Drosophila melanogaster: one gene and its partner. The protein of the gene in region 1 interacts with the protein of each later gene in a pairwise test. Each region holds a gene or a part of one and is shown on either strand. Other genes may lie near its edges.

What was found.
Region 2: the proteins of Cda5 (region 1) and elB interact in a two-hybrid assay, tested with the Drosophila melanogaster proteins (one large-scale study listed by BioGRID).

The regions. Positions count from the first base shown.
Region 1 is NT_033779.5:56,220-60,835, forward strand, and holds the start of Cda5 (chitin deacetylase-like 5), read right to left. Parts: upstream 3,050-4,616; 5' UTR 2,971-3,049; exon of another isoform or gene 2,740-2,970; intron 2,513-2,739; exon of another isoform or gene 2,030-2,512; intron 1,975-2,029; exon of another isoform or gene 1,964-1,974; 5' UTR 1,932-1,963; coding exon 1,862-1,931; intron 1-1,861.
Region 2 is NT_033779.5:14,406,548-14,411,126, forward strand, and holds the start of elB (elbow B), read right to left. Parts: upstream 3,003-4,579; 5' UTR 1,890-3,002; coding exon 1,821-1,889; intron 1-1,820. UniProt on the Drosophila melanogaster protein: May negatively regulate Notch-induced cell proliferation in the eye-head primordium. May act in leg and wing primordia to negatively regulate body-wall specifying genes and thereby promote appendage formation. Required for tracheal development.

The DNA.
Region 1 (4,616 bases):
GTGCACTGTGTGCATGCAAAACAAAGTTGCGCCATGCCAATGGTCGTACATGCTCGTATAAAGTGTTCAGGTTACAGTCAAAGACCTAGCGAAGTAATTTAATGACGATCTTCCGCGTGCGCCAAAACTTTCGCACGGTAAGCATTGACACTGCCTGCGGTAAAAAAGAGACGAAATGATTAGGTCGAGGCGTGACCACCATACTAATGGTTTAACTGGCATTGAAACTGAATTATGATTAAAACCCCTTTGTTATACTATTCATTAAACACGCGCTTAAACAAATGTTCTTGCAAATGTTCAACTTTCGCCATTGGCCTCGTCCGCCTCAAACCTTTTTCTTTCAGCCATCGACATTCGCATTAAACCAGTAGTACATCAAATGTTTTAACACAAATTTCCTAGCAATTACGCATGAAAATATTTCCATGGCGGCATATCTAAGGTTTTACCCAAATATATATTTCTGTGGCTTAAAAAAACACCACTCAAAACACTGAGAAAGTTCATCAAAATGGAAAGTGTTGCCACTATGCCTAAACCAAGTCATGCAAGTCTTCATACCCTTGCGGAGGGTACATTCACTTAAGTCAGAAATTTCAAAGCTGTGAAGGACACAATTGTGCCCATATATGGTATATATATTTCTTGCTAAGTATCAACGACCGAATCGGTATAGCAGATAGATTATAAATTGTTTAAAAGAGGACGATCGGACAGCCGGGCTTGGCTATTTCAAGTTCGCTGTTTTTACTAATATGTTATGAATAAGATACATATATGCACTTTATAAGGCCACAAAGGTAATACAAAAAATCTATCTCAAAACAATTTAGCCGTCTAATGCTGTTATTATAATTTTAATAGTGTTAATCCTTACCACGTTATCTAAGCAATTTTCGTAGTTCCCAATTTGTTTTCTCAAATTTTGCATATATATCATTCATAAAAAATGTCTGAACAATTAAGCAAACTGTTTTAAAAATTATCAACAGTTATTATAGCCACAATTTGCTCGGTTACACCGATACACTCACTCACTTAGTGAACCTATTCAATCGAGTCAGCGAGCTGTATGCAATTAATATCTGTGTCATAAGCTGCTTGGTTGGCTGCTGGCTGATAACTTACATAATTCCATTACCATTACCCAGCAGTATGGTGAGTAGACAGCCCAAGTGACCAATAGTTGGACACGGTAAGGCTTGTTATGGTCGAAATGCTTGATTATGTTATTGTTCGCTGGTAAATAGAGCAGTTGATCAGACCATGTATTTACCTCCATACATACCCTAATGTAAATACTCTTACTTTTTATATATCCTAACACATTTCGCAGTAAAATGTCTTAATATATATATATATATATATATATTAAAATAAATATACATTTTTGGACATATTAAGAAACTCGTTTAGCCGGAGCCGGAGTATCCACAATAGAGCTCAACACAAGTGGTTAACAGCTGGTGGTTTGACTTCTTCTACGGTGATTGAATTTGACATTAGACTATTGCGAGCTCGTACATGGCAGCCGGAACAGTGTTCAAAACAAGTTTGGCTTTATTTGCGGAACATAATATTTCTATCACGAAGTTTCGAATATGATTGAGGAAAAGAAGAATCCATAGTACTGTAAAAACAATTCACTTAAAAATAAAACTTTTTCGGATCTACGTTTAAAAAAAGATTTCAGTTCATACATGAACTGAATACTTATCCATGGTTGTCTTAAAATCTGGTTAAGTGCTAACTCTTCTAGGACTAGTGGGTAAAGTGTGTAAGCCCTTTGCTCTTTTAAGTTTTTGCCTCCATTTGTATTTCTAGCAGAGTGTTCTTCACTGAAGTGGGCATTACTCACCTGTTTTAAAAAGCAGTAGGCACAATCCCAGCAGGCACAGAATGTTTATTCGACTTGTTGAATACTTCATATTGCAGGTATGGCGTGTCGTCGTAACTGTAACTGTAAATTTTCTTGATGTGGTTGGTTCAGTTTCGTTTTGGGGTTAGTTCACAGAATTTAAAATACCATAGGCAAGCTCGGATAAAAATAGTGGTTGGAAGCGCGGGAAGTGGGGAGCAGCAGCAGCCACCGTACCGATGACGGAGGCAGTTACCGTTGAGAAAACCTCTGTTTTGTTGAAAACAATTGCTAAATAACTAAGAAGGCAGTGTCGCAATTTTTCAATTTAGATTTTTTGAGCCTTGTGTTACAGTTTTCTTAATGGTGTGTCTGGCTTATGCCGCGACTGCGGCTTTGTGGCTGTGCCTTCACTTGGTTAGGACATGTTTGTATTGTTGTAAGCAGATTTAGTTTCTGCCCCTATTATTCGAGCTTTCGTTTGGCTTTAACCAACGCGACGATGCATAGCTAACACACACGTTTACAGATTACAACACTTAGTTTTCCTCCATTGCTTTTGGCAAGCGATTTTTAGTTAGGTTTTTTAGTTTCTTTCACGTGAGACTGCAATGACCGCTGTTCGTTTTGTAGTTACCATGGAAAAGATTGCTAGACAAAAATGCAAAGAGATCAAATCGAAGATCGGTGTTTGATTTAGATTTCCCGTACGGTATCGCGGGCACCTCCATATTGGAAAACTCTGTATGAACTAGTCTGTAGCGCGTAGAGGAAAATGCGAAACAAAATAAAACAAAACCTGCACGTTTTTATTTTGTTTGTCGAAGCTTGTATATATATTTAGCGTAAACTTTCTTTTTAACGCAAAGTTAGCTTACCACCGACACACACGCTTGAGCTCTTCGACTAAACTGCAAAATGCAGTTAAAACTGCTTTCTACAAAATGTTAAATTTTTGGCTGGTTGCAATGTCCAGTCAGAGGTGGACTTTATTTCGACGCGTTTACGAAATAAATTAGCAATCGAAAGCCCAAAAATTGATTGTGGCTTATTGCAAACAGTTTAGACCGCCTGACAAGTTCGGGTGACCCTCGAGCGTCTCTGCTTACCGTGCGCTTAAGCGAACCACACGTCCTAATCGAAACAACTATACAGCGCGACTGTGCGGACGAGTGTCTTGAGACTCTGGGCAAGCGCAGCCAGCCAACCAAGTTTCGAAGTCTGGCTTTTGGGCCAAGCTTGGTCTGCGCCACGCTTGGCCCCGACTGTTACTTTACATTAACAGACTGTTCAAGTTGTTGCTGCACCCGCGCGGAGTCGTTTGTATCTCTTAAGCTTTTGAAAGTAAGAGTAAAGTTAACGCTTGCGCCATTGCAGCTTTGCTACGTTTTACAAGTTATACAAGTTATCAGAAAAATGTAGTCCAGACCCATATTCTTAGTGAATTTCAACATTTTACTGAGAATTTCATCCAAAGCTCCCCATCAGTTTCAAGCTATCTACAAGCGGGGAGCGGGCTTTGTTTATTGTTTTCTGAAACTACAACAATATCCACCCTCTAGCCAACGAAGGCTGGGAAACTATTTACCAAGGCGATTGTGAAATGTTGTTACCTTTTTCGTTACATTTTCGTTTAGCAGCAGGTTTCTGGATCGCTCGATAGTGGATTACGGTGCTTAAATTAAAGAATGCTTACTACTTCAACATGGGCTTGGACTTGAATCCATGTCAAGCATGGGATCGAAGGAAGACCACTCAATCACTTTTAGAATTAATACCACCCAGCTGAATTGCCCTTGATAAATTCGATTTATATGCCCAACATATAGCTTTACTCTAAAGTCTAAAGTAAAGTGGCCAATTTCGAACCATAGAATTGAAAGTAAAACCGAGTTGAAAACATGGCAACGACCAAGAACTAGGCCAAAGCAGCCAACCAAAGCCAAGCAAAAGCTGTAAAACAACAGCTGAAGTAAAGGGGTTCTGGTGAACGGCGATGGCTGATGGTTTGAGCAAGGCATGCGAATTAATCTAATTCTTTATTTATTAATTTATTTTTGCTGGATTGTGTTTCACACGATTTTTTCTGTGAATGGAGGGCGAGGTGTTTTGTTGCATTGAATATTTTTGACTTTGTTTAGGAAATTATTTAATTATTTCCGTTACTATATTAAAAAGTGTGTAACGAAGTGTATCTTGAACTAAACGTTTCGGACCATATAAAATATACAAATACTTTATCAAGACCATTGGCAGAGTCGATCAGGCTTGTCCGTCCGTATTAACGTCGAGTTCTCAGGAACTATTAAAGCTAGAAGGTTGAGATTCAGCATACATATTCTAGTGACATGGACGCAGCGCAAGTTTGTTGTCCCATGTTGCCACACCCACTGTAACGACCTCAAGCAACCCGAAACTGCTACGCCCACATTTTTGAAAAATTGTTGCATATTTTTTTGTATATTTTCATCAGTCTTGTAAATTTATATTCATTTGCCAAATCCATTTTTTCCACGCCCACTCTTACGCCCACAGACCGCCCATAGCTATCGTTATACTAAGAACACTTTGGCGGCGTTCCTTCTAATGCCCACAAACCCCCAAAAGCTGCCACGCGCACACTTTTAAAAAGTTTTTGAGATTTTTTTTTATTTTATTATAACCCTTGTAAATTTCTATCGGTATACCAAGAACACTTTGGCCACGTTTGGTAAAACAGGCGATTTGGCAAACTCATTAATGAACCGTAATAACT
Region 2 (4,579 bases), about 14 Mb from region 1:
TGTGTATGTCGCTGCTTTTATGGGGCGCCACATAAAAGATATACAAATGATGACACTGACAGCTGTCAGGCTTAGTTTATTTGATTTTATTATAATTAATTATAAGCAGCTGCCATTAATCATTGAATAATTTATAAGTTCGCAGATAGTATCGCAGATAAAGCACAAAAGAAGAAGGTTAGTCAGTCACCGGCAGACACGTAAACATAAATTAACTCAAAGTGCCGCGCGTAAGCTCTTAAGTCTCTAAAGAAAAACGTATTAGCAAGAATATTTGTTCATTACAGTACTAATAGAACGTCATAAATAATTAGTGCGAGTATACTAATAGAACGTCATAATTTACTGATCGACAGAATTTGAGATTACATCTCGTTGCTTAAAGACGCAACACTTAAATTTTAATGAAACCCAGATTCACAGAATCTGTCAGTCACTTGGCACCGGAACCAGTTCATCATTGGGCCTCGTATGCATATACGATCCGTTGATTTATGGGTTTTGCCTCATTTGCGCCACTGAAAAGCTTTCACACGACCAATATGGAAATGGCTGGGCTCTACTCTCCGAAATCAGTAAATCACGTAGCTCCGAAAACGCTATTTCAAATTACCCAGTTAATGAATGTACTCATCGTGCTGGTGCCATAAACTGCTTCCGTTCTTTACGAACAAAATGCGCTCAACAAATTAAAATGAAAATTTATGAGTCTCACGCCATTTCGAAGAGAGATAGTTTTGGATAAAGTGAGTGGGGGAAATGGGGACCACAACAACTTTGACTCTGATTAACTGCCATAGTTCCTCGAACTACGGTCGTGTGTGTGTGTGTGTGTGCCGGTGTGTGTAAGTGTGCGAAATTGCATTTGTTTTCTGTCATTATAAATTCAAATTTGGCGCGCCATAAATTTAGATACAATTTCCAGAGGTGCACTCGACTCTCTAAACACTTTCAGACGGAGGCAACTGGGCTGCAGATTTACATAGTTTAATATGAACAAACATAAATAAGTTTTATGTGCAGATATTGGAGAATTTATCGTTTTACGATTGTGAATTCGCTATTTGCCTCTTCCCAGACCCCGCAAAACAGTTCCGTTTTGCCAGCACATGGCCCAAAGTCTTCTGGAAGTTTGGAGGAGGTTGTTCGTTTCGGATTGGTGCCGTAGTTTCATACATATTTCGCCAGTGGCGAGTGCTTACAGTCGACATTTTTATTATATATGAAATATGGCTCGACAATCTATTTCAGATGTCTGAAATGTCGATAGTTTGTTATTCATAGCTGCAAGTTTTATAATCGAACGTAGCGAATTGGGTGTTATTGCTAGAATTTGTACTACTCTTCTTATCCTGTTTAAACCATGACTATTCTGGCATTTTTCTTATTCATATTTTGATATATATAGAACTTAACCCTTAACAAGATTTGTTCTACTTAACGATCGGAACACCAAAGTGAAATAATAATCTCTGAAGAGAGTGTGAAGAATGCGAAAACAAATAATACGAAATTTACGTCTTCTTATCAACATTTAAGAATATTATTAAATTTTAAGACCAATCAATATTTGAAATAATAGTTTTAATGACTTTTAACCGAAACTGTTCATCAGATACCTATCCCTTTCAATTAATATTTTATCCCATATTAGATAGCTAAACCAACTCACTGAAAAAGAAATCGCAATAATCACTGAGCTGTATTAGGCGATAAGCGCTAAGTCCATATAAACGCAATAAATTTCTGATTGCCGAATAAAATACCTTGTGAGAATTATCCCCAAAAACCCCAAAAATGAGACAAAGAGATGGGCTTACCGCTGTTGGGGCAGCTGCAGCTGTCATATAATCCGGTCTTAAATAATGATGATTGCTGGATTGCAGCATTTTATTATAATTTGTTAAATCCACTTTGACGGCTTTTCTTTGGTGGTTCGGTGGAGGTGTTGAGTGGTTGTTGCTTTTGTCCCGACCGCAAAGTACGGCAGTGCGCTTAACGGTAAGTGCCAATTTATGTGGCGTGTGCTGCCAACTCGTGTGAAAAGCGGCGCCTGCGCCTTGCTTGAAATATTTTCCAGCTGCCTGACTTTTCGCTGATTAAGCCGTCCACGTTTCGCGGTTCTCGTTGATGTGAGTACTTATTTATGATAATTTATTATTGTGTTTATTTTTTATTTTTCCTCTTTTTATTATTTATTCCGATTTCGATTCGCAATCGTTATTGCTGATGCTTGCTGGGCTTTGTTTGTAATTCGATTTCATTAATAATTCAGTGCTGTGGCGCAGGGGGGATTTCTCATGCGTCGAGTTGTGACTTTCACGCCAGCGGCATATTAATTTGTTGTTGTGATATGCTGGCTTCGCTTTAATTGTGCAATAAATTCATTAAGTATTATAATTGCCTCAGCGGTATTTATTATTTATATGTGTACACGATACATATGTGTGTAAAAAAGAATTTACACACTACTTTCTTTGCTGGCTTGCATCTACAATATTTACGTTTGATTCACGCATGGGCTTTTACAATGTATTCATTTATGGGTTTTCCTTTTGTTAGATATACATAGGTATGTATGTACTTTATTTATTTCTTTGGCTTGGCCGTTTTTGGTTAGTGGTTTCGCTCGAATGCCTCGTTGAGGGCGCGTTTTATGATGAGGCACGTACGTTATTAGATGGTTCCGGGAACGTGGGGTTATCCAAAAGTTTGCTATTTACTGAGCTAATTTTGTTTCACATGTATACTTTGTTTTAAACTCAGTCTAATTTTGATAAAGCACAAGGATCACTCGAAAACGACTTAAAAAATAGGCGATTGTGTTGACTTTCTCGTATATATTTTGAAAATTTTTTTTTTTTTGCGTTTGGGGGAAGTGCATATGTATCCGCCTGGCCGATTTTACGCTTTCGCACTCACAACACAACACTCCGGTCGTAGCAGTCCGTCCGTTCAGCGCACGTACGAACTTTAAACGTGAAATAACGAAATTCGACTAAAAATCTATAAACAACATGACGTGCACGCTCCTTTTCGCTCTTTTCGTATCACCCCCACTCTCCAATCGGCTCTCTCAGTAGTTTCGCGCTCGCTTGAAAACCAGTTCGCTCTTTGTTGTTTGTGGCCGTTTTCGTTTTCAACAAGTGTGCTTTTGTTGTTGTCCGAGGCCATGCGCTCCCCTTTTTCTTAGGGCGCGAGAGCGAAAGAGCGAAGTAGTTGGGGCACGAGAGCAAACGTTTTTAGTTCTGCGCTCTTTGCTGAGCGCGCATGCTTTTTGCTGAGGCAGCGAATTTCGCGTGGGAGCTGAGAGCCAAAAAGCGTAGTAGAATTGGCGGTTAGTAGTAGACGGATACTATGTGACGGAGAAGCAGTGTTGACGATGGGAAGTAACGGAAATTTCTGGATATTTTTGAAAATGTATATTTCCGCTTTAAATTTGATAAATAAAATGAAGGGTAATCACGGTACCCGGTTGTTTAAGAAACATTTTTTTATATTATACTTATGTACCAAGAATTATAAGGATTTTTTAATATTATTAAATAAAATCTTAAACATTTATTATACACATAGTAGGGAAAGATTTTTGGAAATTTGTAATTCTGAGCACAAGTAAGTTCACACTTAGATCAAGCAATAAGTTTTAAATATTGCGTATACGCCCAGTTGGAAAGTTTTTCTTTGCGCGCTATCATTGAGTACAAAGCTAAAAAATTCTAGAAATGTGTAAATAAAATATTGGAAATTAAAAATAGAGCCAACACAACACACACAACGCTGGGCACACCGACACCAACACGCTCATTGGACGATCGCCGCTTCTGTGTAGCCATTTTGGGTAATTTTGTTGCTGTTGTTGTTGTTTCACAGTGTTTTGTGGGGAATTTATTTCCACACATGTGTGTGCAGCCATGGCGCCTGTGTGCGTGTGGAGAGCGGAACGGCGTCGGCCATAATTGTTTACGAGCAGGTGGGCGTGTGTGTGGCGCTCGTTGGTGTGCCAGTGTGAGAGTGTGTGTGAGGAGGGGTTGGGGAATGTGTTAAAAACTGCAAGCCGAGGAAATATGATTTAGAGCACCAAACGAGAGAACCATTTCCGTGGAGAGAACACGATTTGGTGTATTTCCCTCACTTCGCAGAGAGAGTTTTCCCCACTGTAAACAGAAAACAGCTGGCGAAAATGAAAATCTCGGGTTGCACATGATGACGGGAAATGTCTGAGACGAACTTATCCCTCATTTTGCACACTGAAATCAATTTTAGTTTCTCACTTAGATGCTATAAATGCAATAAGAATGGAATGTTCGAAAGTAATATCGTAACATCTTTAACATTAAAAAATGTTAATAAAAAAAAAACAAATTTGTAATTCAAGTTTGCCGATTAAATTTCTCTTAATGCTTAATATGTACATATGCAGTTTAATATCTAAATCATAGCTCCCACGTTAGGGCAATTTAAGAAATCAAATATAGGAGTCATAATCTCTGGTTAAATTGCTCTATTGGGTCCGCATCATCGTAAAAAGCAAAAATGGTCGTAAAAACACAACCAAGACCACGCAATTGGTTAAATA